Linked DNA regions of Nothobranchius furzeri. The protein of the gene in region 1 purifies or fractionates together with the protein of each later gene. This does not show direct contact. Links are inferred from orthologs where the notes say so. Each region holds a gene or a part of one and is shown in the gene's direction. Other genes may lie near its edges. The genes, in order: ilf2, hnrnpub, heterogeneous nuclear ribonucleoprotein Q-like, sf3b1, stau1, cdc5l and heterogeneous nuclear ribonucleoprotein R.

Evidence for each region.
Region 2: the proteins of ilf2 (region 1) and hnrnpub fractionate together in Homo sapiens (co-fractionation; 3 studies listed by BioGRID and IntAct, with this or other methods). This does not show direct contact. The link is inferred for Nothobranchius furzeri from reciprocal best matches to the Homo sapiens genes ILF2 and HNRNPU.
Region 3: the proteins of ilf2 (region 1) and heterogeneous nuclear ribonucleoprotein Q-like fractionate together in Homo sapiens (co-fractionation; 3 studies listed by BioGRID and IntAct, with this or other methods). This does not show direct contact. The link is inferred for Nothobranchius furzeri from reciprocal best matches to the Homo sapiens genes ILF2 and SYNCRIP.
Region 4: the proteins of ilf2 (region 1) and sf3b1 fractionate together in Homo sapiens (co-fractionation; 3 studies listed by BioGRID and IntAct, with this or other methods). This does not show direct contact. The link is inferred for Nothobranchius furzeri from reciprocal best matches to the Homo sapiens genes ILF2 and SF3B1.
Region 5: the proteins of ilf2 (region 1) and stau1 purify together in Homo sapiens (affinity purification with mass spectrometry; 3 studies listed by BioGRID). This does not show direct contact. The link is inferred for Nothobranchius furzeri from reciprocal best matches to the Homo sapiens genes ILF2 and STAU1.
Region 6: the proteins of ilf2 (region 1) and cdc5l purify together in Homo sapiens (affinity purification with mass spectrometry; 4 studies listed by BioGRID and IntAct, with this or other methods). This does not show direct contact. The link is inferred for Nothobranchius furzeri from reciprocal best matches to the Homo sapiens genes ILF2 and CDC5L.
Region 7: the proteins of ilf2 (region 1) and heterogeneous nuclear ribonucleoprotein R purify together in Homo sapiens (affinity purification with mass spectrometry; 3 studies listed by BioGRID and IntAct, counting the BioPlex papers as one, with this or other methods). This does not show direct contact. The link is inferred for Nothobranchius furzeri from reciprocal best matches to the Homo sapiens genes ILF2 and HNRNPR.

What each region holds. Positions count from the first base shown.
Region 1 is NC_091751.1:23,258,300-23,262,561, reverse strand, and holds the start of ilf2 (interleukin enhancer-binding factor 2 homolog), read left to right. Parts: upstream 1-1,462; 5' UTR 1,463-1,615; coding exon 1,616-1,620; intron 1,621-1,933; coding exon 1,934-1,993; intron 1,994-2,620; coding exon 2,621-2,663; intron 2,664-2,790; coding exon 2,791-2,895; intron 2,896-2,983; coding exon 2,984-3,061; intron 3,062-3,301; coding exon 3,302-3,404; intron 3,405-3,797; coding exon 3,798-3,863; intron 3,864-4,098; coding exon 4,099-4,215; intron 4,216-4,262. UniProt on the Homo sapiens protein: Chromatin-interacting protein that forms a stable heterodimer with interleukin enhancer-binding factor 3/ILF3 and plays a role in several biological processes including transcription, innate immunity or cell growth.
Region 2 is NC_091742.1:29,996,062-29,998,551, reverse strand, and holds part of hnrnpub (heterogeneous nuclear ribonucleoprotein Ub), read left to right. Parts: intron 1-750; coding exon 751-830; intron 831-904; coding exon 905-1,044; intron 1,045-1,132; coding exon 1,133-1,232; intron 1,233-1,711; coding exon 1,712-1,824; intron 1,825-2,170; coding exon 2,171-2,434; intron 2,435-2,490. UniProt on the Homo sapiens protein: DNA- and RNA-binding protein involved in several cellular processes such as nuclear chromatin organization, telomere-length regulation, transcription, mRNA alternative splicing and stability, Xist-mediated transcriptional silencing and mitotic cell progression.
Region 3 is NC_091742.1:17,031,949-17,035,985, reverse strand, and holds the start of heterogeneous nuclear ribonucleoprotein Q-like, read left to right. Parts: upstream 1-1,237; 5' UTR 1,238-1,377; exon of another isoform or gene 1,378-1,390; intron 1,391-4,037. UniProt on the Homo sapiens protein: Heterogenous nuclear ribonucleoprotein (hnRNP) implicated in mRNA processing mechanisms. Component of the CRD-mediated complex that promotes MYC mRNA stability.
Region 4 is NC_091754.1:36,036,838-36,040,337, reverse strand, and holds part of sf3b1 (splicing factor 3B subunit 1), read left to right. Parts: intron 1-232; coding exon 233-412; intron 413-483; coding exon 484-570; intron 571-904; coding exon 905-1,175; intron 1,176-3,500. UniProt on the Homo sapiens protein: Component of the 17S U2 SnRNP complex of the spliceosome, a large ribonucleoprotein complex that removes introns from transcribed pre-mRNAs.
Region 5 is NC_091743.1:66,049,759-66,052,648, reverse strand, and holds the end of stau1 (double-stranded RNA-binding protein Staufen homolog 1), read left to right. Parts: intron 1-93; coding exon 94-173; intron 174-2,075; coding exon 2,076-2,163; 3' UTR 2,164-2,390; downstream 2,391-2,890. UniProt on the Homo sapiens protein: Binds double-stranded RNA (regardless of the sequence) and tubulin.
Region 6 is NC_091752.1:40,119,977-40,122,978, forward strand, and holds the end of cdc5l (cell division cycle 5-like protein), read left to right. Parts: intron 1-332; coding exon 333-440; intron 441-531; coding exon 532-621; intron 622-699; coding exon 700-831; intron 832-1,686; coding exon 1,687-1,767; intron 1,768-2,182; coding exon 2,183-2,296; 3' UTR 2,297-2,502; downstream 2,503-3,002. Other genes in the region: supt3h (transcription initiation protein SPT3 homolog), read right to left, coding at 2,588-2,629.
Region 7 is NC_091759.1:6,948,558-6,952,584, reverse strand, and holds the end of heterogeneous nuclear ribonucleoprotein R, read left to right. Parts: coding exon 1-107; intron 108-776; coding exon 777-912; intron 913-991; coding exon 992-1,197; intron 1,198-1,693; coding exon 1,694-1,843; intron 1,844-1,927; coding exon 1,928-2,049; intron 2,050-2,121; coding exon 2,122-2,728; 3' UTR 2,729-3,527; downstream 3,528-4,027. UniProt on the Homo sapiens protein: Component of ribonucleosomes, which are complexes of at least 20 other different heterogeneous nuclear ribonucleoproteins (hnRNP). hnRNP play an important role in processing of precursor mRNA in the nucleus.

The sequences.
Region 1 (4,262 bases):
TCCTTCGTTAAAGCCTCCATCCTTGTTTTGAGCTTGTCTGTTTCCTTTTTGTTTTCTTCAGTTGCCATTTGCCTCTATCCTAAGGTCAAAAGCTTTCAGATTTTTGTCTAGCAGATCAAATCTTTCTGGAAAGGCCAGCAGGGCTTCATAGATGTTTTCATTGCATATCTGTTTGCCAGTAGCTTTATTTTTCAGGTTTTTTTTTTTGATTGGGGCTTTTTATTGGAGTGTGATCACCAGTGGGTCTTGCTGCTATCTGTTGATGCTCCATCTCCTCAATGTCTTCGTCCGCACATGCTTCCTTCATTGCCGCAAGGTTGTAGTCATGGTCGGAAAGACTACCTATTAGCGCCGCCATGTTAGTCATTTGATTTTTTGTGTTTGCTACTTTATCTGTCCAATAACTCTTCAAAAACATGTTCCACAGGTACCGATTTCCTTTCAATTTCGTTCTGAATAACTGTTTATCAGAGAATTACTTCTCAGAACATTTAAAACCCACCGTTTTATCAGACCTGCCAAGTTTCCAGCACCTGCTCACTCTGCCATCTTGAATTCCCCCTCATGCACCACTAAACAACAGTGCTAGAGGAGAGCAGCTGTCCGAAGTAAGATGGCTGCCGCGTACGGACGTCAGGGTCCATTGACGAACAGCGCAGGTGAGAATCAGTGCATCTTTTGTATGACAGAATGTGAAACTATTGAGCACCTTTTTCTTCTCGTGTTCAGTAACACTTGGTTTTGAGGAGGATGTTTATCGATTGGTAAATATTGAGAGAAATGATGTAATCTAAAGTACTGATATACATGGATGCTCTTCCAAAAAAGATATCCAAAATGGTGAACATTACCAAATACATAAGACTAAATGGAAAAACAGCAAGCCTAACATTAATCATTTTAAAAATTAAATAAAACAATTTACAACATCTCAAAGAGTATTTTCAGAAAATAACCAATCTATAACTGAGTTGTGCGAAACAATGTCTGAGTTTCTTGTTCTTTAAATTACAGTCCAATGAATCAAACATGTTTGAACTATAATGCTGAAATATCAACCTCTGAACGTTTTTTGTTTGTTGTTGATGTTATTTTATTTTTTGTTTTAATTATTATTATTTTGCATCATAATTTATTTTATGGTAGTGCCATGCGGTAAATGTTGCAAGTTCTAAATGTCATTTTTATTTTCCTCAAGTGCGGTCATTTGTATTTGTTATATTCTTCAGTACGTTGAATGTAGGTTACATTGTAAACTGAATGTATGTGAAAACGAAGATTGAAATAAAGTTAAAAAAGAGACTTGACCAGAAAGACGTGAATGAATAAAGTTACGCTATGGCAGCAGCAAAAAAATATACCAATAAATAAAAAAAACAGCGCATCTAGCTATAATATGTGATATCTATGCGGTCCACACTCCATTCCAGTTGGGGGCGGTAATGTACCACGGCGTTGGTGACGTAAAACAGAAAGAAAGAAACAATTCCGCCGGAAACAGAAGTCTCTTTGTGCCACACTAGTCCCTTCCGCAGTTAGCCTCCGCTCATTCATTAAACCATATCAAACCGTTCTCCCTGTTTTCTCTCATCAAACCATCAAAACGTCGTACGCAATGAGGTAACGCTGACTAACCGGACCTGGTTGTGTTGGCTTTACGCTAACTAGCCTGTAATCAGTGTCATTAGCTGTTAGCCATTAGCTCGGTATAGCTTTCTGTTAAAGTCTCGTTCTGAACGTGGTGTTACTTATTTATTCCTCCAATAACAGTGTTACTGATAACTCTTACGTTTTATCGACAGCAAGTTAACACTGAGGTAGCGAATTAGGACTATAACACACGTGTGTTAGCTAAGATCAGCGTTTTTATTTATCCTTTAGTCTGGCAGTAGCGAGCGCACTGGACTGATCTGGGTTTTGTGTTTGTGAACAGAGGAGACCGCGGCAGGGGCCGAGGACTCCGCTTCGGAGCCCGGGGAGGCATGGTCCAGGGGTGAGTACCTTACTGATCTCTGTTCCTGTTCCATACTGGTTCTTTCAGTCAGGTCCTTGATCTGGTTGTAGAAAGTATCTGACAGTTAGTCTTAAGTTTGCTGGTTCGATTCCTGCTTCTGGATGGAACTCGGACCCATAAGCCATCAGAGTAGAAAAGTCTAAGTGAGAAAGATCTTCAGAAGTGGAAAAAGAAGCCTCTTGTGATTACACAGGACGACGGCACTCTCCCCAGAACATCTCCAGAAGGACTTCTTCAGAGCAGTTAGATCTTTCCATCCTGTCTGAAAGCAGCGTCCTGTTTCTGTCTCTTTAAACTTCATTTTTTCCCAAATGAAACAATCCATTGATTTCTGGATCCTTAAAAAGCTGCTGTAAAGTCTGGAATCATCAGCTCATGTTGTGCGTGGTCCTGGTGATGAAGCTAAGACGGATTGTTGGTTATTGTGCTGAAGCAAAAAGAACCGCTGCCTTGGTTATAACTGAAACCTCCAAATCATTGTTAAAATCTACTTTTTGGGTTTGAACATCAGCTTTCATAAGGTCCCGGTCAGACGTTCTGGTTCTGACTAGTAGGGACATTTGTGCCAGTCCACCGATTCTCCGTTCTTCTCTCTGTCCCGCTCAGGTACCGTCCTTTTGTCCCGCACATCCCATTTGACTTCTATGTGGTGAGTTCACGCATGTGACAGACAACAGAACAGCATGCAGGAATAATCAGTAACCATGGCTACAACTAGCATCTGGTAGAATCCGGTCCATTTTGTGGTTCTGAAGCAGACTGTTGTCCTTCCCCAGTGTGAGATGGCCTTCCCCAGAGTGAAACCTGCTCCTGATGAGACGGCGTTTAGCGAGTGTCTGCTGAAGAGGAACCAGGACCTGAGCCCCTCACCTGCAGAACAGGTCAGCTAGGTATTCCAGTTCAACACCTCACTGGTCTCATCGTGCTGTAGGTTACTTACCTGACGTCTTCATTTCCTTCTGCTTCTAGTCTTCCATCTTGTCTTTGGTCACAAAGATCAATAATGTCATCGACAACCTGATTGTTGCCCCTGGTAGCTTTGAAGTGGTGAGTGGTGAACATCTGACCTGTAGAGCTGCCATGTTTACTGAAACTGGTGTAAATGAGTTGGTGTCAGTAAGGCTGTAATGATCTGTGTTTGCTGTCACGTCCTAATCTGGGATTAAATGTTTCTCTTCCGTCATGACCTTCCTAGACCTCCCACAGGCTGAGCTTTATGTAGCTGAGCGGTTTTATCTTTTAGAACGCATCAAAGCCATCCCGCATGCTTACGTTATCTGTCCACAGCAAATAGAAGAAGTTCGTCAGGTGGGTTCATACAAGAAGGGAACCATGACAACTGGACACAACGTCGCTGACCTCGTTGTCATCCTCAAGATCCTCCCTACACGTGAGTCATTGTTCATTCAGACCAGCCCTGGGTCCGTCACTAGGGCCTCATCCTGCTGGAACAGCTTCAACAGATGTTCTGGTGAAACCACTGAGCACATCTGGACTCGTGTTGGTAAATACATGGCTAGTCCCATCATGCAGCCCGACCGGACCGGCTATCCAGCAGCTAAGCTGTTTAGCTTTAGCCTCTTTAAGCTTAACAGTGATGACGAAACTCGTCAGACCGTACAGGAACTCGAGAACAGAAGTGTCTGAATCCTAAATGTGTTTATGAGGCAACTTGGTGTCATTTAAACCCCGAATACCGTCGGTAGAGTGGTGATTAATACTGAGTCCAGTGTTAAACACCTGGAGCTAAAGCTGACTCTGCTCTTCATGTTTAATCTAACAGTGGAGGCAGTGGCTGCGCTCGGGAACAAGGTGGTGGAGACTCTTCGCACCCAGGACCCCGCAGAAGGTACGGGGGTGGGTCTGTGTGTGTGTGTGGGGGGGTGTATCTGCAGCTCTGGACCTTACCTAAAGGCTGAAGTTGGTCAGAGTGCCCTCAAGAAACAGAGTGAGCATCTTTAGTGAGTTAATGATGTAATAAACACTAATGGTGTGTGTGTGTGTGTGTGTGTGTGTGTGTGTGTGTGTGTGTGTGTGTGTGTGTGTGTGTGTGTGTGTGTGTGTGTGTGCACCCGCGCTTTCAGTTCTCTCCATGCTGACCAATGAGACGGGCTTTGAGATCAGCTCAGCTGATGCAACCGTTAAGATCCTCATCACCACTGTCCCGCCCAACCTACGCAAGCTGGATCCAGAGCTGCACCGTATGATACACACACACACACCCACACATGCATACACACACACACAC
Region 2 (2,490 bases), on another chromosome or scaffold:
ATCGATGTTTGTCATTTGTTGTGCATTTATCTCACTGGATGACTGATGTCCAGATGCTGTTTCTGTATCGTGTGTGTGTGTGTGTGCGTGCACTTTTGCAGGACTGTTTCTACCCCTGCATAGGTGACATCATGCATGGCCTGTGTGAGTGTGTGTGTGTACATGAAACTATTACCGGTCAGTGTTTTGTTTTCATTGCGCTGCTGGCACACCGAGGATGAACGGGCAGAAGCTGAACGTAGATCTGGAGGTTTTATTTGAACAAGGATTAAATCACCTCTACGGTGCCGAGAGTCTTCGTTCACCTGGTATGAACGGGATCCAGACTCGGCTGCTACACAGCGTGAGGACACCAGGGAAGGTTTCAGACACAGACTGGTGTTTCATAGATTCATGATGTCCAGTTTTAATTCTTAGTCTTGATTTAAAACACAACATGATCCAGCGGTCCCACACATCACATAGCAGCCCTGAGCTCACACTCACCTGGACGATATTCACATCTGATCAACATCACGGGGCGATGGCGACGGTCTGTATCTTTCCCGTTTTAGATTTCTGCGGATGCTGTTGGGTAAGTCGGTTCCTGCCAGGGTTTGTGAGGCTCAGTCATGTTCTGTTTCCCTTTCTTAAAGCCCGTCCACTTCTCTCCTGTGATGTTTTTCAGCAAATGGTCCCAAAGAACATCAATGTGCTCCACTGTCACCCCCGCGTGAATCCTCTAATTTACTCGCTGCCGTCTTCTTTCAGTGCTTCGTTTAAGTCTCCGGTACCGCCCTTGGAGGAAGAGGACGAGGAGCTTGATGAGACCAAAGTCTGCCTGGACAGCTGTAAGAGTTGATGTTGGTGACCTGCAGGGACACGTTGATGCCGGTGTTGTTTACGGGAAGTTTGTGTTCTGCAGACAACTGCGACCTGCACTTCAAGGTGTCGCGGGACCGTTACAGCGCTTCGTCCCTCACGATGGAGAGCTTCGCGTACCTCTGGTCTGGAGGCAAGGCCACTCACGGTGTAAACCAAGGCAAGGCTTGCTTTGAGATGAAGGTAAGTCCTCTGCTGCTGCTTCCTGCAGCGCTGGTGTTTTAAACCCCGACTGGTGGTGTTGCTAGAGTCGTGTGTGGTGTGATTGCAGGTTACAGAGAAGATTCCAGTGAAGCACATATCCAGCAAGAACCTGGAGATTCACGATGTCCAGGTCGGATGGTCTCTGGCTACCGGCTCGCTGCTCCTAGGTCGGTGAAGCAGCTTGTGAAGCTACACGAGGGTTTAGCTTCTCACACCTGGCACCACATCTTCCATAAGCAGCAGCAGAACCTGTTTAAGCCGGTTTAACGACCAGCGGCGATAGGCCGAGCTGTCTTTATGCCTGTCCAGTCCGTATGTTAAACCCACTGTAGGGTTTCATTATGGCGCTGTGTGTGACATTCATCAGGGTCAAAGGTCACATTTTTACCAAACACACAGCTGCTGAACTGGATTTCGTGTCTTTTATTGTTGTTTTATCTTGTTTTTCTCTTAAATATAAATAACATCAGATTTAGCCTGGGAAGTCTCTACCCCATGTGTTTATTTAGTCATGACGTCAGGCAGCTGCGGTCATGCGTGACCGACTCAACAGCTCCCTCTAGTGGGCTGTAAGCAACATAGCATGTTGGTGTGAATGCCAGCGGAGGTGAGTTGTGGCTGCTGATGGTAATCTGTTGGTGTTCAGGTGAGGAGGAGTTTTCCTTCGGCTACTCCTGGAAAGGCAAGAAGACGACCAACTGTGTGACCGAGGACTTCGGAGAGCCGTACGAGGAGAACGACGTCATCTGCTGCCTCATCGTAAGTCCAGATTCCTTTTTTAAAACTTCCAGACACACATTAGACCCGTACCATGGTGTACGGTAGGAAAGGGCGTGACCCCTCCTGTGATTGGCTGGACGAGCCAGTGCAGGCACAGAGATAGGTGAGTAGGCTGAGCTAGACTAGAAAAAAGTGGACGTAGTGCAAAAGAAGAGCAGCAGTGTCCTGGCATGGAACCAGCAACCTCCCAGAGGCCTGGTCCAGAGCTGCAGGAGTGGGTGCTTTACCTCTGAGCCCCTGTAGGGGGCGTAGGAAGATTGTTCTAGGGTTAGAACATTCACCACATCTTTCTAAACCAAAATGTCGCCTTTCCTCCTCGATTCAGGACTTTGAGGGTGAGGAGGTGGTGCTGTCCTTCTCCAAGAATGGTGGAGAGCCAGCTGTGGCCTTCCAGGTCCAGAAAGACTCTCTAAACGGCCAGGCCCTTTTTCCTCACGTCATCTGTCGCAACTGTGCTGTGGAGTTCAACTTTGGCCAGATGGAGACCCCGTACTTCCCTCAGCCTGAGGGCTACACCTTCATGCAGCAGATCCCCGTCGATGAGCGTGTGAGGGGTGTGAAGGGGCCTCAGACCAAGGCCGACTGCGAGGTGTGTGTGACGGACCTCTGCGGTGTGTGAATAACGGTGCGACTGACTAGAACCTG
Region 3 (4,037 bases), on another chromosome or scaffold:
GATTTTCCTTGTTTGAAGTGACCAATCTGAGCGGTTGAATCTGATTTGTCCTGTTCTGACAAACAAATGTCAGATCTGTATACTAGTAAGAAATGTATTATCAAACATGCTCACTTAGATTATTATTCAGTCAGAGTTACATCATATAATCCATTCGTTTCACTGAAAAAGGAGCAGGCAGAACTATGAACTTGTTTAGCCCGTCCAAGTAACATGGAAGAAAAAATACATGTATCTGTATGTAAATGTAGTTAAAATGTCTTCCCACAATAGCTCATGTAGATTCTGTCTGAGTTATACCATAAAAATCCTACAGTTCCACTAAAAGAGTATTTACCTGCAAACTAGCCTGTTAGCTCAGCTTTCTGCTGCTTCCTCTGTAGCAAGTTAGCAGTACACAGGTTAGCTCCAGTAGCTGCAAAGTCTCTGATGTTCCACAGGTTCCTGAAAAATTAGCAAACTTATTAACATAAACTGCAATAATTAATTCCATGAAACCAGTAATGAATATGTTAAGATGAATTTTTAATACGTCTCTCTGGAACAATAGACCATTGTCCTTAGGCTAGCACAATGCTTGCTTAGCAGCTAGCTAGTGAGCTAACGTCTGGTTAAAACCAACTTAAAAAGTGGCTTAATTTACAGATTAACTAAGAAAAGATCAAATATATCATCAATTGTCACTTTAGATCCTCAGTAGACACCACAGACAGCAGAAATAATGTGTTTGGGGCTCAAAATTCATGTTGTTGACCGAGGTGGGAAAAGAATGTCTTGGAGGCTACATCACTTCCGGGTCACTGAACAGTCACTCAAGAGAAACCACTGTCCTATAGGAGAGGACTTCTCAGAAGTCCCACCCACCCGAAAGGGTTGTGTCAGAATTGCAACCAAAAACTCAGGGATTGCAAAAGAGAAAGCCAGAAAGTTTAAGTGCAAATCTGGTAGTGAGAGCTAAGCTGTGTGCAGCGAGAACGAAACTAAGGAAACTGATAACAAAAACACATAGAGGCAAACAGAAAAAGGAAACATACTTTGTTACTCATTTTAAGAAGTTGATTCAGATCATAAGTTTTTCTTTTGAAACAATTTTTTTCTCTCGCAATGTCTTAATATTTGATCTTCAAAGTGTTTTTCTTGATCCTATTGGCACAAATCTAATCCCATAGCATCGCTCACCGGGCGGTGGTGAAACCGGAGGAGCCCCTGCGAAGGTCACTCAGAAGCCCCGTTTATGCTAAAATGAAGCAGCAGCGCTCGCGACGTTATACAGACGCCATTTTGTATCCCGGGTGTCAACCAAGAGATTACCCGCGCTAACGTTTCTCTTAATTTGGACTATCATCAACACGGCGGATCAGCATCGTGCACCCACAGGTAGCTTCGCGTGGTAGGTAGCAACAAACATGGTAGCCCCGAGTTTGGCTCGTGCACGCGCCTCTACAGCGTGCTGCTCGACCGGCTGTGCTAACCGGTCTTTTGAGGAAAGAATCGGACACGCGTCCATCGATGCCGTTATTGGGGTAATGCAGGGAAAGGAGAGCTTATGGCTCATAGCCAACAGTGTTTAATACATCACGGTACACGTTCTCCATTCACCGGTGTCGGCGCGGTAACTACCGAGGCCTACTACGGGGGAAGCAGTAGCTCAGGTGGTAGAGCGGATTGCCTCGTGATCGGAGGGTCATGGGTTCGATTCCAGCTCCCGCCAGGGGTATCCTGCTGTTGTGTCCTTGGGCAAGACACTTCACCCAACTTGCCTGTGTTAGTGGTGGTCAGAGGGGCCGACGGCGCCAAATGGCAGCCTCGCCTCTGTCAGACCTCCCCAGGGCGGCTGTGGCTACAAGTGTGTGAATGTGAGAGTGTGTGAAAGCGTCTTTGGGTGTCTAGAAAAGCGCTATATAAACTCAGTGCATTATTATTATTATTATTATTACTCGAGCCCCACGCGCTCTCAGGTGTGGTGAGTGTTGGTTTCAGCAGTTATGGTCCATTAGACCGGGTCGCTGCTCTGGGGCTACTTATCCATGTTTTTGTTTGTTTTAAACGACTCCGATCTGTCGCTGATGGGTTTTCAGTTTAGTAACGATCTAACCGGATCAGTGTGGTCAGACGATGTCCGCTGTCCAGCTCGATGGCGCCAAATACCGGCGGCTGTTGTCTGAAGTCACCCGGAAACAGATCAGTTAGCTGTGTTTAAACCAGTCTAGGATCACAACAGGTGTTATCGGTAGATTTACCCACTAACACAACAGTTAGGCCAGGGCAATCTAACGCTGGTCTTCCCGGGCCACCGTGTAGCATGTTTTGGTTGTTTTCCTGCTCCAACACACCTGGTTCAGTTCGCTTCCCTAAGAAACCAATTACTGGAGCAGACACACCAGAACGGTGGCCCTGGAGGACAAGGGTTAGACCATTGGACCAGGGTTATCAACTTTAAAGAGCAAGTCACCCCCAAATCTACTTCTTTTGCTGATACATTATATAAACTAGTGTCTAATCGGGCTGTAGACGCATGCAGTCAATAATTTGGGCCTTTAGTGTATCATACTTCAAATGTAAATAATATTCCTAAAACTCAGTGTCGCACCGTGTTCAGGTAAACACCCTGCACTGCAGCTGAATTTAAATCTGACATTGCTATTGGCTAAGAGGTACACCATGACGTTAGCTGGTACATTATGTCACAATGTTGTTGTGAACCTGTGTTCGTGTGTGTGTGCGTGCGCTAGGCAACAGCATTTGTTGCATTTTTCAAACAGGAAGTGGGAGTGGAGTAAGACTGATAAGATGTGACTGGATAAGAAAAGATTCATAATCAAACTAGTAAGTCAAGAGCATTGAGGGGGTTTATTCTGTCGTAAAAACTTTGTGTTCAGAGTTAGGGATGCATGTTCATACGATACGTATCGCGATACAGAGTAGAAAATATCGCGATACTAAAAGCTGAGGAATATTTCCGAGACTGAATTTAAATGAAAGAAGCATCATGGTAAACAGTCCAAACTGTTACATGTGCTGGTGCAACCAACGCAAAGGGATCTACATTTCATCACAGGAAATAAAAATTTGCCCTTTAACTGGGCGGTGTTTTAACTGGTAGAGTTGAGTTTCAGCTCAAACTGTACGACTTCCTTGCAGAGCAAGTCTCACGAGTTACGTGCTCACACTGTATGTCTGGTAGCGACATGTTGGGCCCACAAATATGCTAAAATCAGCTGTTTTTACACAACACGTCAGACTTATCGTATTATTAGGGATGCACGTAGTTAACTGCTTAATTGCCTTTAATGTTGTGACCAGGTAAACTAGTTTTTTCCAGTTAACTGTTTCAAGTCCTTCTGCTGTGCTTGGTGCAATATATTTTGTGCCACTAGAGGACGCAAGAGTGCCACTGTCAAATGGTTTACTGGGCGACCGCAGAAGAAGAAATGAGCTCATCACAAGACCTAACAAATGTGCTGAAACACAAGCGGTTATTAGAGTTAGCGGTTATTGTTTGTTCTTTCGTTATTTCATTCTTGGAGCACAAAAAGCCTCACATCAGAGCGCCGAGCCGAGACCAGCAGCAGGTCCGTCGGCCGTGACGCTCCTTATGCCTGATGCCTTATTTGTCCAGTACAATAAAGAAATTAAGTTTTCTTGCATTCAACTAAATAATTACACTAGGTGTTAAAACCGCGGCCAGACTGCACTTATCAGCACGTGATCACAAGCAGCGCTGCGTATCTGAGATCAGATGGTCCGCTGAGTCTGACGGACAATCCAGCTGTCATCCCACTCTCTTTACTTTTGTTCATAAACATAACGAGTGTGGGACTTAAGTCGTGAGTCATTGTATTAAAGAGTAGATGGAGAAAGTGTTATTCATAGAGCGAGGCAAATGTTTGGGGGGGGCTATTGACCGCTACGGAGCGTCGCTAGCCGGTTAAAGAAAGTTTGGTAAGCATACATCCCCAGTTGTTATTGTCCGTTGGGATCGCTGGAGGTTGGAGGAGGAAGACGATGAAAGTGAATCAACATCTTATCAGTTTAAT
Region 4 (3,500 bases), on another chromosome or scaffold:
CACAGACTTTTTGCTGTGACCTTCTGTATAGTGATGTTCGTTTGTTTAGGTTTATAAACTACAGCTAGTATTTTTTTTTCACAAAGTGCAAATAAAAAGATCAGCAGGTGCCAGTTTGTTCCACGTAGCAGAGAAAAGGTCTGCTTCAGCAGGCAGTTGGTGCAACCGCTAAACCAAAGTACTTCTGTGTGTTTGTGAGGCTTTTATCTGACGCGTCTCTTTTCTTTATCAGGCGGCTCTGCGTCAAATCACAGACAAAGCCCGTGAGTTTGGAGCTGGTCCCCTGTTCAATCAGATCCTGCCGCTGCTCATGTCGCCTACCTTGGAAGACCAGGAGCGCCACCTGCTGGTGAAAGTTATCGACAGGATTCTCTACAAACTGGATGACCTGGTTCGGCCGTATGTGCACAAGGTGGGTTCACTGCGGAGACGTGCATTTGTCTCTATGGATGTTGGCGCTCTAACCTGAGCTTTTCTCTTCAGATTCTCGTGGTGATTGAGCCTCTGCTCATTGATGAGGACTACTATGCTCGAGTTGAAGGCAGAGAGATCATCTCTAATTTAGCGAAGGTATTGTTTAGCTGCCATTTGCTTTTGTTGATGTAACAGAGAAATGACGCGAACCTTTCTCGCCTGGTTGACCAGTTTGTGGTCTGATCAGGGCTAGTTGTTCGCCAGATTGATACCAACATGAGAGCATGCAGACCTGACCTTAATGCCTAGTCTGTTCTCAACCTGCACCCGTTGGTTACAGTTCCTCTGCAAAGAAGCAGCATCTGTTAAATACTTCAGCATGAGTGCACAGTCATAGTTATAAAGTGTTTGTTCTGCTGACTGATGCTGTGTTTGGGCTTTCAGTGGTAATCAGAGTAACCTGTGAACTTGTTTTTCTCATGTTTTTAAGGCTGCTGGTTTGGCTACAATGATTTCCACAATGCGACCTGATATTGACAACATGGATGAGTATGTCAGAAACACGACTGCTCGAGCCTTCGCGGTGGTGGCCTCGGCTCTTGGTATCCCCTCCCTCCTGCCCTTCCTCAAAGCTGTGTGCAAAAGCAAGAAGTCGTGGCAGGCGCGACACACGGGCATCAAGATAGTACAGCAGATCGCCATCCTGATGGGCTGCGCCATTCTGCCTCATCTGCGTAGCTTGGTGGAGATTATCGAACACGGTCAGTCGGACCCTCATCCACAAATCTTTTAAAGCACCAATCACGTTCTGTTACAGGTGATCGCGTTAAAGCCATGACTCGGTGTGTTTTACACTGAGTAAAAAAGAAAAGGTTTAATCCTTTATAAATGACATTATTATTATTAGTGGGGACGTTCCATCACATTGGGTGAAAAGGATCAGATACAACCTTATAAATCAGCAAGCATAACCTTTTAAACTAACCCTGAGATTTAGGTGAAAGACTGTTGTCAAGCGCCTTGTGAGGTTCTGGAACTCTGTAAATACAGTCCTCTTACCAAAACGGTAACCATAACGATCTGCAGTAGTTTCTGTGGAGGTTAGGGCTGGGGGTAAACGATTATTTTTAAAACGATTATCCTGACGATTTTTTATCGAATAGTCAACTATTCTAGTGACTAGAGCAGGGGTCGACAACCTGTTCCCATCAAAGAGCCATTATTACCCGTTTCCCACAGTAAAGAAAACACTGGGAGCCACAGCAGCCGCGGCGTTGTGGGCGGGGCCTACCCTCAGACAGCAGAGCGCTGCCTTAACCAATCACAACAGGTGACAGCAGTCGGTACCGGTCGCTCGTGTACGTCAAAGTTATCTTTCATAAAAAAGATAATCAATAAAATGATTTATATAAAGTGGATCCAGAAGTTGTAGCCCGTCTCTGCCTACAATATTTTGATATTTTTCACCCTGTTGGTTTTACTGAGCAGGTGCCACTTTTGTCATACGTTTCTTTTTACAACATGTTTAGACTGTTCAGAATACAAATCCAGGCTCTGTCACGTTTGATTGTTGTAATTAAACTTTGTAGGTGGGGAAGGTCAGAAAAGGATCCGATCAGTTTGTTTTTCCCTCATTTACAGCAGCGGAGATAACGACGCAGTGCGCCTGGCTCTGGTGTTAATCAAGTTAAATTATATCTCTTTGCAACAATTTTCACAAGAAAACAAAACAGTTAAAAGCAGGGCTTGTGTTGTGTTGACCGGACAGTTCCCGTATTTGACCGTTTATTTTGACGGAGAAAGAATAGAAAGAATTACCCCGACGCATGCAGACAAACTGACATTTTATTCTACACACATCGCAGATGTAGCTAAATCACTCAAGAAAAGATTCCCATCTGAACATCTGAGCTGGACATTGCTCAGCGCAGCTCACTGTCAGCGCATACGTATGGTACACAGCGAGCTGAAGATGTGGAGAGGGGCTTGGAGCGCGTCGCAGAACCAGAGCGCATGCGTGAAGATTCCTCCCACTGAAGCGAGACTTGTCACTTAGAAAATGTTCCCTGATTATGAAACTTTGGCTGAATAGCGCTTGTTCCTGTCTCCAATGTGGCGACACATCCAGGAGCCTGTCTGAGGAGAATCCCAGAATCTCACATCCTCTTCAGCTCGGAAAGTGCCTATGATTACGCACAAGCGTGACGCGTCAACCCGGTCTCACAGTAAGACTGGGTTGGACCTGTTCAGGTTTACGCAGACAACCTTTACATTTAGAATTAGCTTACAGATGTAAAATTAATGCAGTAAAATATAAAGCATTTTATTTAAATATCCATTCATTATTTTACAAGCATAGAGAGCCGCATCAGATGGATGGAAGAGCCACATGTGGCTCCAGAGCCGCGGGTTGCCGACCCCCGATTTAGACAATTAATCTAGTAATTATTTTCTTATTGCATAATTAATAAAAACAAGAAAATCTCTTAATAAATTCCTCCAAGAAATTGATCAATTGTTACTGTAATAGAATAAACGCTACAGACCTTCCATTTTGTATAACACTGCTTTTATTGTGTTGCGGTTGGTTATGTTCTGGTGACGTGTAGAACTTGGGAATGCAGCCTGCTGCCTGAGAGGTGGTTGGAGAAGGAGTGTCTCCATGCTGCTTTGTTTTGGTCACTTATGTGTGTGAGGCGAGTGGTGTTATGACCCTTCCTGGGGAGTTTGGCTCGTGTGCAAAAAGGAAGGGACAATAGCGGGATTTAAAAGTTAAAATGATGATCAGGGTTCTTTACAACTACAAAAAAACATAAATCTTTCCATCCACAGGTTGGGAATAATAAAACTAATTCTGCCCGTGGGGAATTAAAACAAAAGTACAAATAAGTAGGGATGTCCCACTGGGCAAAGATTACAGGGTTCTGGACCAAAATAAGGATCTGCAAAGGTCCAAACTCTAAACTGGGCGGTTAAACCAAACTCACGGTGATATCTTAAACTAAACCAAAAACCCACAACACTCTAAATGTAATAAAAGGGAGATCTACACCACAAAAACGATGAACTCTAAACCAAAACGTAAC
Region 5 (2,890 bases), on another chromosome or scaffold:
GTTTCTGAAACACCCACACTTTTTCTAAAAGCGTTGTGTTTTCATGTTTATGTGGACTGCCAGAATAGTAAACAATGTTTTTAACCTTCACAGGCTGCACTGAATATATTAAAGATACTCGCTGAGTTGGACCAGCAGCCAAATGAAAGGACAGAAAATGGACCAGCCTCGGGGTAAGCTGTGAGGATTGGCTGAGCTGACCTTTTGTTTTTCATAAAATGTTTCGTCTTGCTAATATTTGAACTCGCCCTGAAGCTCCTGTCAGTGGAACAGAGTCAGATATTTTAACTGTGTCAAGAAGTTTGTCAGTCAGGACTGTGAATGTCTTACTTGTTTGGGGTTTTAAACTGTTGAAAAGTTATTTTTCTTGAGTGAAATTATAAAAACTGAATCATTATGAAGGCCGTTTACACACGGAGCCGAGGTTTCATAAAACAAACCACCCCCACCCCCCCGTGCGCGCGCGCGCTCACGCCACCTCGTGCAACCCAGTGCATTGTAAGGCCATGCATGCTAAGCTGGTTGGTGGCAGTAGTTCCCCAAATCTCCTGCGTCTTTGCCAAAAAATTTTCCTTGCAGCGGAAATTTTGTTGACGATATAATATATATATATATATATATATATATATATATATATATATATTAAAAAAAAATATATATATATAATGTTGTCAACAATATATATATATATTTACGACAAATACATTTTTGCGGACTAAAACAAAACAAATAAATTAATGTGCACATCTATGAAGACTGAATTATAACGGATGTTGTTTGATATTTTCGTCAGTGAATAAAAGACGACAGTGTAGACTGACAATAACGAATATTGAATCAGAAAATGAAGAATATTTGGAAATTTGAATAAAAGAACCGGTCAGCAAATGAAGCAGACAGGAATAGACGAGGAAAGAGCCAATCAGAGTTCGGACTGGAGCCGGCCGCTGTTACAACAAGTTGCCGGTAACGGTTGAACAATTTGTGTCTAAAAGCAGAAAATGCCCACAGCCGGGAGGAAAATCTTTAAATGTGACAATCTGAATAATGTTTGCTTGGTGAGTTCCCATCTGGGGTTTCCCCTGGTTCTTAAAGGGTTAGGGTGGTGGCAGCAGGCGGGGCTGGGTGAGGCCAGGAGTGGATTTCTGCTGCCGGTGCTGAGCTGTTGCCAAACCAAACTCACGGAGCTGCACACCTAGCAGAGCTGCTACGCCCGATAAGCATTCGTTGTTCTAGCATTTTTTTTGTGAGGGAGGGGGAAAAACATTCATGCGGCCTACCTTGGTAAATGAGTGCATGGAAACTAATAAACACGCCTGAAAACATTTTTTACCTTTTAGTTTACCTCCTCGCGTTATTAGGAAAACACCTTTTATTGTTATATGGTATTATGTCATATCATGTTTAGAAATATTACTTATACATTATACATTATATAGATTTGTTTATTAATACTGGGAGACACAATTCTAAACAGTCAGATTTCATTTTGGTATTTTCCATGATTTATTATTATTTAAAACATTTATAAAACAGTTTTATTGATCCAAAGTGTGAAATGTGAATTTTTTATATTTCTTTACAGTTTCAAGTAGCTGTATTTGATATTTCCTTTGCACAAGTTGAAAATTATTGCATCAGATGAAAAATACATATATTTTAGTCAACTAAAATAGGACTCTAAACAAATATGATGTGACAATTAAAGAGAATTAGCATGTGAAATAACTAGGTAGTGGGGAAACCTCTGTCCTAACGTTGCCCTTTGCTTGCTGCCTTCTACACTGAATAGTAATGGCGCTTGTAGAAAGAGCATTTTTGTCTCGGGCAGTGTGAAACCTAAAACTTGGTTACTAACGTTCACAAACAAATCCTGAAAACAGAATCTGCAAACCTCCGCTTTGGTCAAACTTTTTCAAAGTCTCATTTGTGGTGCTGTTTATCTTAACTTTGGTGTGGATGACGGGTCAAACCGCAGAAAATATTTTTGTTTAATGGGATACCTAGCAGCTATAGTGTTATTTATTGTGTATAATAATAGTGAAACCATGTGTTTTAATCATTTATTTCCTCAGATGTGGAAAACAGGAGCTGGAAGGCGACTTGCACCTGAAACAGGCTAACTCAAGCACATTGGCACAGACGCTGGATAGCAAAGCTTAGCTGGGGTTTGGTTGCCTGTCAAAGAGAAAACTCACTGTGTTCTACGGATGCTTGGAAAAGCCCTAATCTATCACTGCTCTTATCGATTGTTACAAAGTTTTCACAGTTAAACAAGATTGATAGGAAAAAATAGACTTCTTCTCCTTGATGTTGTTTAATTGTACACATTGTTATTTTTTTTATTTGCTCTATAGAGAAAGTAGCTGCATCCTAGCCAATCATTTTGGAGGTGTATTTGATTTGAAATAGGAGTAACTGTGAACTTCCTTTGGTTTTAAATGTCTGTGTTTTATCCCCACTGAAGTAGTTTAAGTTTCAGGCCTTGTTTTCATTTTTGTCTAGGATGCAGTTGCTGTTGATTTTCCTATAGTGCTTTATGGCCCTTTGTGTTAATGTGTTGTAATTTAATGCCACATTCTCCATCCTCATGAAGCTACAATAAAGTTTTGTGCTAAAAGCATATGTAACCCACACACTGTGTTTGGTTACTAATAGATTAATAGTGTAAGAGCTGCGGTTTTTGACCCTCGGCAGTGCCTGCAGGGGGCGGGCTCAACTCTCCGGTTGTGTGCACGCTCGTTGATTAAGGGCGAGACAATTAAAGAAAAAGGAGAGCTGATCCATGTGAGCAGTGAGAAATGGAGAACGGTTATAATTATAAAAAAATTAATAATAAACCTGAAACCCAAGAAGATAAAGTGTGTGAGAAGTGCTGTTTGGTGTGATA
Region 6 (3,002 bases), on another chromosome or scaffold:
GAAAAGCAGACTGAGACCAAAGCAAGGGTTTTGAAAACGATACTTCCTCTTTGAGGAAGATGAGCTGGGTCGTGAGACTAAGAAGTAACAGTGGCGCTTTTTTCAGCTTTGTTTTGGTTAGCTGTCTGCTTTTAGCGACGTGTGTCCTGCTTGGAGCAAGATGTTGTCCCATCTGGATCACTGAAATCTTGTACTGCACAGTGTGCCACCTCTCTGGAGTTCTTAGTGTGACATGAGCGATCCTGAGCGACGGCTGAAAAACAGCGTGGTCCGGCTTTAAACAGAGTTGTACCTCCTGTTTGGTTGTAATTATTCTATCATCTGTTGAACAGGCAACGGCCATCCTGGCAGCGGAAATGGACGTGGTGAAAGCAGGAATGGGTCATGGTGATCTCAGCTTGGAGGCCTACACTCAGGTGTGGGAGGAGTGCTATGGGCAGGTGAGCATCCTCACAGTGAACAAAAGGAGATGAACAAATGAAACCAATCTGGGGTTACTGCCATCAAGCTGAAGATGCTGTTGTTGTGCAGGTGTTGTACCTACCTGGTCAGAGCAGGTACACCAGAGCCAACCTGGCTTCAAAGAAAGATCGAATTGAAAGTCTGGAGAAAAAACTAGAGGTGAAAAAGTTAAAATGTAATTATTAAAAAGCTGAGTGAGTCCCAGCCCTTTGACCCCGGCTCCGTTGCCCTTTGCAGGTGAACCGTGGTCACATGACAGCTGAAGCTCGGCGAGCGGCTAAACTAGAGAAGAAACTGAAGATCCTGCTGGGAGGTTTTCAGTCCAGAGCCCTGGGCCTCCTGAAGCAGCACAATGAGCTTTACGAACAGGTAATGAGCAGATTTGTGTCAGCATGGAAGGAAGATGCTCCTTTAGAGTCAATAGTACACATCTGAGGGTAAATGGATCGCCATGTTTATCATTTAATGCCAAACAAAATTATCTTAATGTGTACAAACCAGAGTTCCATGTTTCTGCTCTTAAAGAGCAAGTCACCCCCTACCAGAGTCAAACTCCACTCCCATTTCCTGTTTGAAAAATGCGACACAAGGAGGCATTGCTGGTGAACCAAGAGGGCGAAGCCACACACACGTCTGTCTTTCTATCATAGTGAGGACCCTCCATTGACTTCCATTCATTTTTGTGATTTCACTATGCCTAACCCATACCCCAACCCTAACCATAACCAATGCTAATCTATTCTTAACCTTAACTAAAACTTAATTCACACCAAACCTCTAACTGGTATAGTAAGCTTCTAAAAAAAAAAGTGAGAACCAATTAAATGTCCTCACTTTGTAGGTAAAATGGTCCTCAGTATGTAGTATGTACAAGAACACACACACACACCGTGACATCATAATGTACCAGCTTACATCATAGGGTACCTCTTAGTGCATAGGGACAACGGATTTAAATTCAAATGCTGTGCAGAGTTTTTACCTGAAGAGGGACACTGACGGTTTTAGGCAGAATATTTAAATTTGAACTAAGATGCACTAAAGTGCCAAATTACTGACTACACATGTCTACAGCACCATTAGACGCTCGTAGTTTATCAGCAAAAACAGTTGTTGTTGTAAAAGTAAACTAACAGCTGGTTTAGCTTTTAAATACAGGTTCACTGTTAGTTTCGACTGTAAATTTATTCTATTTTGACATGTTGTGCTTGTTTTGTCCACCAGGTGGAGCAGGCAGCCACGGAGCTCCAGACCTTCAGTCAACTGAAAAAACAAGAGGACCTCGCCATTCCCAGGAGACAGGAGGTGACCCTCACACACACGCACACACACACACCTGCTCATTCCGAGCGTTAGGCTGGATTTACGTTCACAATCTTATTTAAGTAAGATTTTAACTTTCTCAGTTTTCAAATGACTCAAATATAAAATGATAAAAGCCATTAATATGTATTCCAGCCATGCTCTGGTCATGTTCCAAGGCCTTTATATATAAATAGAAAAAAAGGCTCCAGTTTTATTTTCATTGCTGTTATGATCTGATTGGCTCAGTGACGAGGTTGCCATTTTTTGATAAACTATGTAATTATTTAAAAACAAACAACTGATCAGAACTGTTTGCCCAGAAACATATTTTCTAGAAGGAAATCCTTTTACTTGGTGACAAACCAAAGTTTTACCACCAAGTAAAGCTTTTTGTTTGACCTTCTGGTGTTTTTAGGCTTTGCGGGAAGATGTGGAGAGGCAGATGGAGAGAGAGCGAGAACTCCAGCAGCGATACGGAGAGCTCCTGATGGAGAGGGAGTCGCTGCTCAACAGTACGCAGAAATTCTGAGTAACGCATCGATAGATTCATTAATTCATGACTCAAAACAATGCTTCCTCTTAAACCTGCTGTAACCATCTGACTGTATCCCAGTGGAAATCCTTGCCTCTGTGTGCTAATTTTGCCGTGATGTGTCAGCAGCTGAGATTTGAGCGTGTTCAGTAGTCCTTGCTTCTGTACTAGTGACCAATAAAGTTTTTCAACAATAAAACCAACAGCAATGGTGTGAACTCAACTGAAAAGTTTTATTACATAAAAAATAAAATTATTTACATTTGAAAAAAGATGTGGGCTGATGCATCAGCAGGTGAGGAAAGCCATCCCGCTCCTCCTGTAGGTAATCTGGGGAGAATGAGACCACACCTTAGGCAAACACCAGGAGGTAAGATGGAAACATGCTGCAGGTCACAGCCATACGGTGGGGTGTGAAATATTGGGCAGCCTTTTTGATCTCCGTGATTTTCCTTTATAAATCGTTGGTTATGATAAAAAATATAGGAGATGCACTAAGATCTGAGAAGTAAAAAAGTTTATAGGGTTTACAGAAAGTGAAATAATTGTTTAAACAAAATTAGGCCGGTGCATAAATCTGGTCACTGTTGTCATTTTATTGATCCCAAAACCTTTAGAACAAATTATTGGAACTCGAAATTGGTTTGGGAAGCTCAGTGACCTTTGACCTCCACACACAGGTGAATCAAATTATGAGAGAGTT
Region 7 (4,027 bases), on another chromosome or scaffold:
CCATCTGGGACCTCAGGTTAATGATGGACCCCCTGTCTGGTCAGAACAGAGGTTATGCTTTCATCACATACTGCAATAAAGATGACGCACAAAAGGCTGTGAAGCTAGTAAGTCTTACTCTATAATACAAAAAAAACACTAGTCAAATTTCAGTTCCTAATAACACAAGAACATTTATATAAAGGGATACTTTGCAACTTTTTCGTAGTTTTAAAATAATTTTCATGAGCCAGTATGTGCTAAAATGACCTTTTACAGGCTCTAATTTCCCTCTGGGGTTAATAAAGTATTATTGAATTGAATTAATGAAAGGCCACTCAGCTCCTATTGTGACCAAAATATTCCACTTTCAACTTCTGATTCGTGGGCTGCTCTGTTGGGATTTTAAAAAATGTAGCTGAAATACCTGGCACTGCAGTCTGGTTCCAGCACATTTCCTGCATGTTTTAGATCATGAACACAGCCGATTTGTTAAGTTTAGTGATGAGTCACTCCTGTAGACACTAATGAAGGATGAGGAGACATTTCAACATTTCGATTAAGGTGTTAAAAAGACAAATGCACAGCGAGGAAATAGGTTTTGCTTTCGGTTCGACAAACGAACACTGGGGGGTGCTAAAAGCCAGCAAAACTGCCTAGTTCCCCTTTAAGATAGTAGCTAGTTCACTTTATTAAAGATACATGTAAGCCCATAGCAAAAGATGGATAATTGTGTTTTATAAGAAATTCCGTGTCTGTTGTGTGAAATTTTTTTTACCTTTCTTATTTGTTTTCAGTGTGATAACCATGAAATTCGCCCTGGCAAGTACTTGGGAGTTTGTATATCTGTTGCAAACAATCGCTTGTTTGTTGGATCCATTCCCAAGAACAAGACACGGGAAAGTATACTGGAGGACTTTGGGAAAGTGACAGGTTTGTTTTGAGTGCAGTTATAGATTTTATCAAACCAATCTTGACAATACTGGAAGGCTTGTTTTTTTTCACCCCACAGAGGGTCTGCAGGATGTGATACTGTATCACCAGCCAGATGACAAGAAGAAAAACCGCGGTTTCTGTTTTCTGGAGTACGAGGATCACAAGTCTGCAGCACAGGCACGTCGCCGCCTAATGAGTGGGAAGGTCAAAGTGTGGGGCAACCCTGTGACAGTGGAGTGGGCTGACCCTGTTGCTGAACCAGACCCAGAAGTCATGGCCAAGGTCAGTAGTCCATGTTTTCTTCAGAAAATCATTCCCCAGCTCCCAGCGTTAAAAATAGGGATGTGTATCGATGAAAATCTGGCGATACGATACGAATCACAATACAGGGTAGACAATACGATGTATTGTGATACATTCGGCCAGACATTATTAGCAAGTTTTTTAGATTGAATTTATTGTAGGAAAATTCAATAAACAGTCCAAACTGATACGTAACATGTTTAACATGAGGTATCTGAACCATAGTAGAGGGATTTAAATTTCAGAGGTGGCAACAAAACCCATTGCACACTGCTGCTGGCTAGTGGTCAGCATTTGAATTGCACCAAAAGAAAAGAAAGTAAACAAATGTTTGCATGCAAATTCTTCCAGAAACTTCATACACGGCTTTTGAATATCGATGTAATATTGCAGGAAATAATATAGCAATATATTGCTGTTTCGATATTTTCTTATGTTCCTAAATAAAAGACTAAATTGTTTTCTGTGATCTTAGGTAAAAGTGCTTTTTGTCAGGAAGCTGGCTACAGCTGTGACTGAAGAACTTCTGGAGAAAACCTTCTCCCAGTTTGGGAAGCTGGAACGGGTGAAAAAGTTGAAAGACTATGCTTTTGTCCATTTTGAAGATAGGGATGCTGCTGTAAAGGTGGGTTTTTTTATGAAATAATCAGCGTAATACTAGTGCGTCATGTTTCTCGGTACTTGACAGTGATGGTTTGCTCTTTGACAGGCTATGGATGAGATGAATGGGAAGGAGCTTGGAGGTGAGGTAATTGAGATTGTTTTGGCAAAGCCCCCAGACAAGAAAAGGAAAGAGCGCCAAGCAGCTCGGCAGACCACCAGGAGTGGCGGGTGAGCCTAAATGGAAACATGTGGTTGGTCAGTTGCCCAGAACAACATATTCATGAAATTTTCATCCTGCAGGTATGATGACTACTACTACTACCCACCTCCACGCATGCCATCACTAGGCAGAGGAAGGGGTCGTGGTGGCCGGGGAGGCTATGCCTATCCACCTGATTACTATGGCTATGACGATTACTATGACGATTACTATGGCTACGATTATCACGACTACCGCGGTGGCTATGAGGACCCTTACTACGGCTATGAAGATGTGTACAGCATGAGGAGTCGTGGTACTCGCCCCAGCAGGGGTGGACCTCCACCACCTAGGGCTCGCGGGGCTCCAACAGCACGAGGTCGGGGTGGCTTTGCACAAAGGGGGCCACCCCTTGGAGGTCCACGTGGCGCTCGAGGAGGACGTGGAACCCCTTTCCAACCTCAGAGGGGCCGTGGTCCTCGCGGTGCCAGGGGTAATCGTGGCGGGAACGTTGGCGGAAAGAGGAAGGCAGATGTGTTTACCCAGCCCGACTCCAAGCGCCGCCAGACCAACAACCAGCAGAACTGGGGGTCCCAGCCCATCGCCCAGCAGCCCTTGCAGCAGGGGGCCGACTATTCCGGTAACTATGGTTACAGTAATGACACCATGGAGTTTTCACAGGATTCTTATGGGCAACAGTGGAAGTAGATGCACCAAAAGGTATTTGGCAACGACAACAAAAAAAGAGGAAAACAACAATAAAAAGAAAAAAAAAATCAGGAGATTGGCCACAATTTTTGATTGACTTTTTATTCTTCATCACGTGTGAAAAAAAAAGATCTGTACGTATCTCAGAAAAAATGGACACACTGCAGAATTGGCTCAAGATGATTGGCTGGAAATGTTTTTGGCTGAAGAAATGAACGTACCCCTTGAGGTGAATCATTTCTTCCTGCTACAGTCTCATTTGGACGTGTCTTTACAAAAATTGCAAAAAATTTACGCTTTTATTGTTACTTTTTGTTCCTGTTTTTTTTAAAACCAACAAAGAACGTTAACAAAAAAAAGTGGACATTCGTTTTAAAATATCTGAGAGGACGTCAAAAAATGCATATGTCCTTAAGTTTTTTGTCCATGTCCCCCTCCCCATTCTTGTACTCCCTTAATTTGTGGTTTCTTGTAGTTGCTTAGGGATTTGCTTGTAAATAAATGCATATCGTTATAGCTTCATACATCATTTTTTGCGAGGGTGGAGAAAAGAATCCACAAGAAGGAAGAAATCAAAGTTTTGTATTGTTCGAAGTGTATGCATAGCATTTCTAGAGATAGACGAATTGTGTTTATTTGTTTTTTTAACTGATACCATAACTTCCTTGTTTTCATTAAACTTGCCCGGTAGAATTTGGTTTGGCTGACCTTAAGAGCCATAGCAGTTTGTTCTCTGATGTTATTTGTATTTATAACTTTTCCGTTTTGTTCAGTTTCAATAAAACTCAGCTGAGCATCAGTCAATTGTCAAATACTCAAATTCAGTGTTTGTCCTTCACTACTTGATTTGATCCATAACCTCCAATTGTCACATTCGGAAGATCTTTTTTGTCAAATTTTGTCAGCAGTGCAAAAGACTAAAGAACTAGAGAGTTCTGCTTGTCGAGTTGGATTTGAACCCTTTATTCTTCAGTGTTTCGCCCAAATGGCTGTGATCCCCTTACAAGAACACTCATCCTGTAAAGGTGACCGCTACCATTCTCATAGGTTGTTCCCATTTCAGTAGAGCTAATGCTCCTTCAGTAAATGTCTTCAGCCACTAGGAAAATACTCAGTGTACTTTATATTTAATACAAAATTCACAACACTGTTTTCACGTGGATGTAGTTGGAGATTGGCTGACATCTATTAAAGCTTTCACTAAAATTTTAAAAGTAAGAACAAGTTTGGAAAATAGTGAGTTGTCACTTCAACCCTAATAAGTTGACACACTCACCTGGCCTTTCCATTGGATTCGTA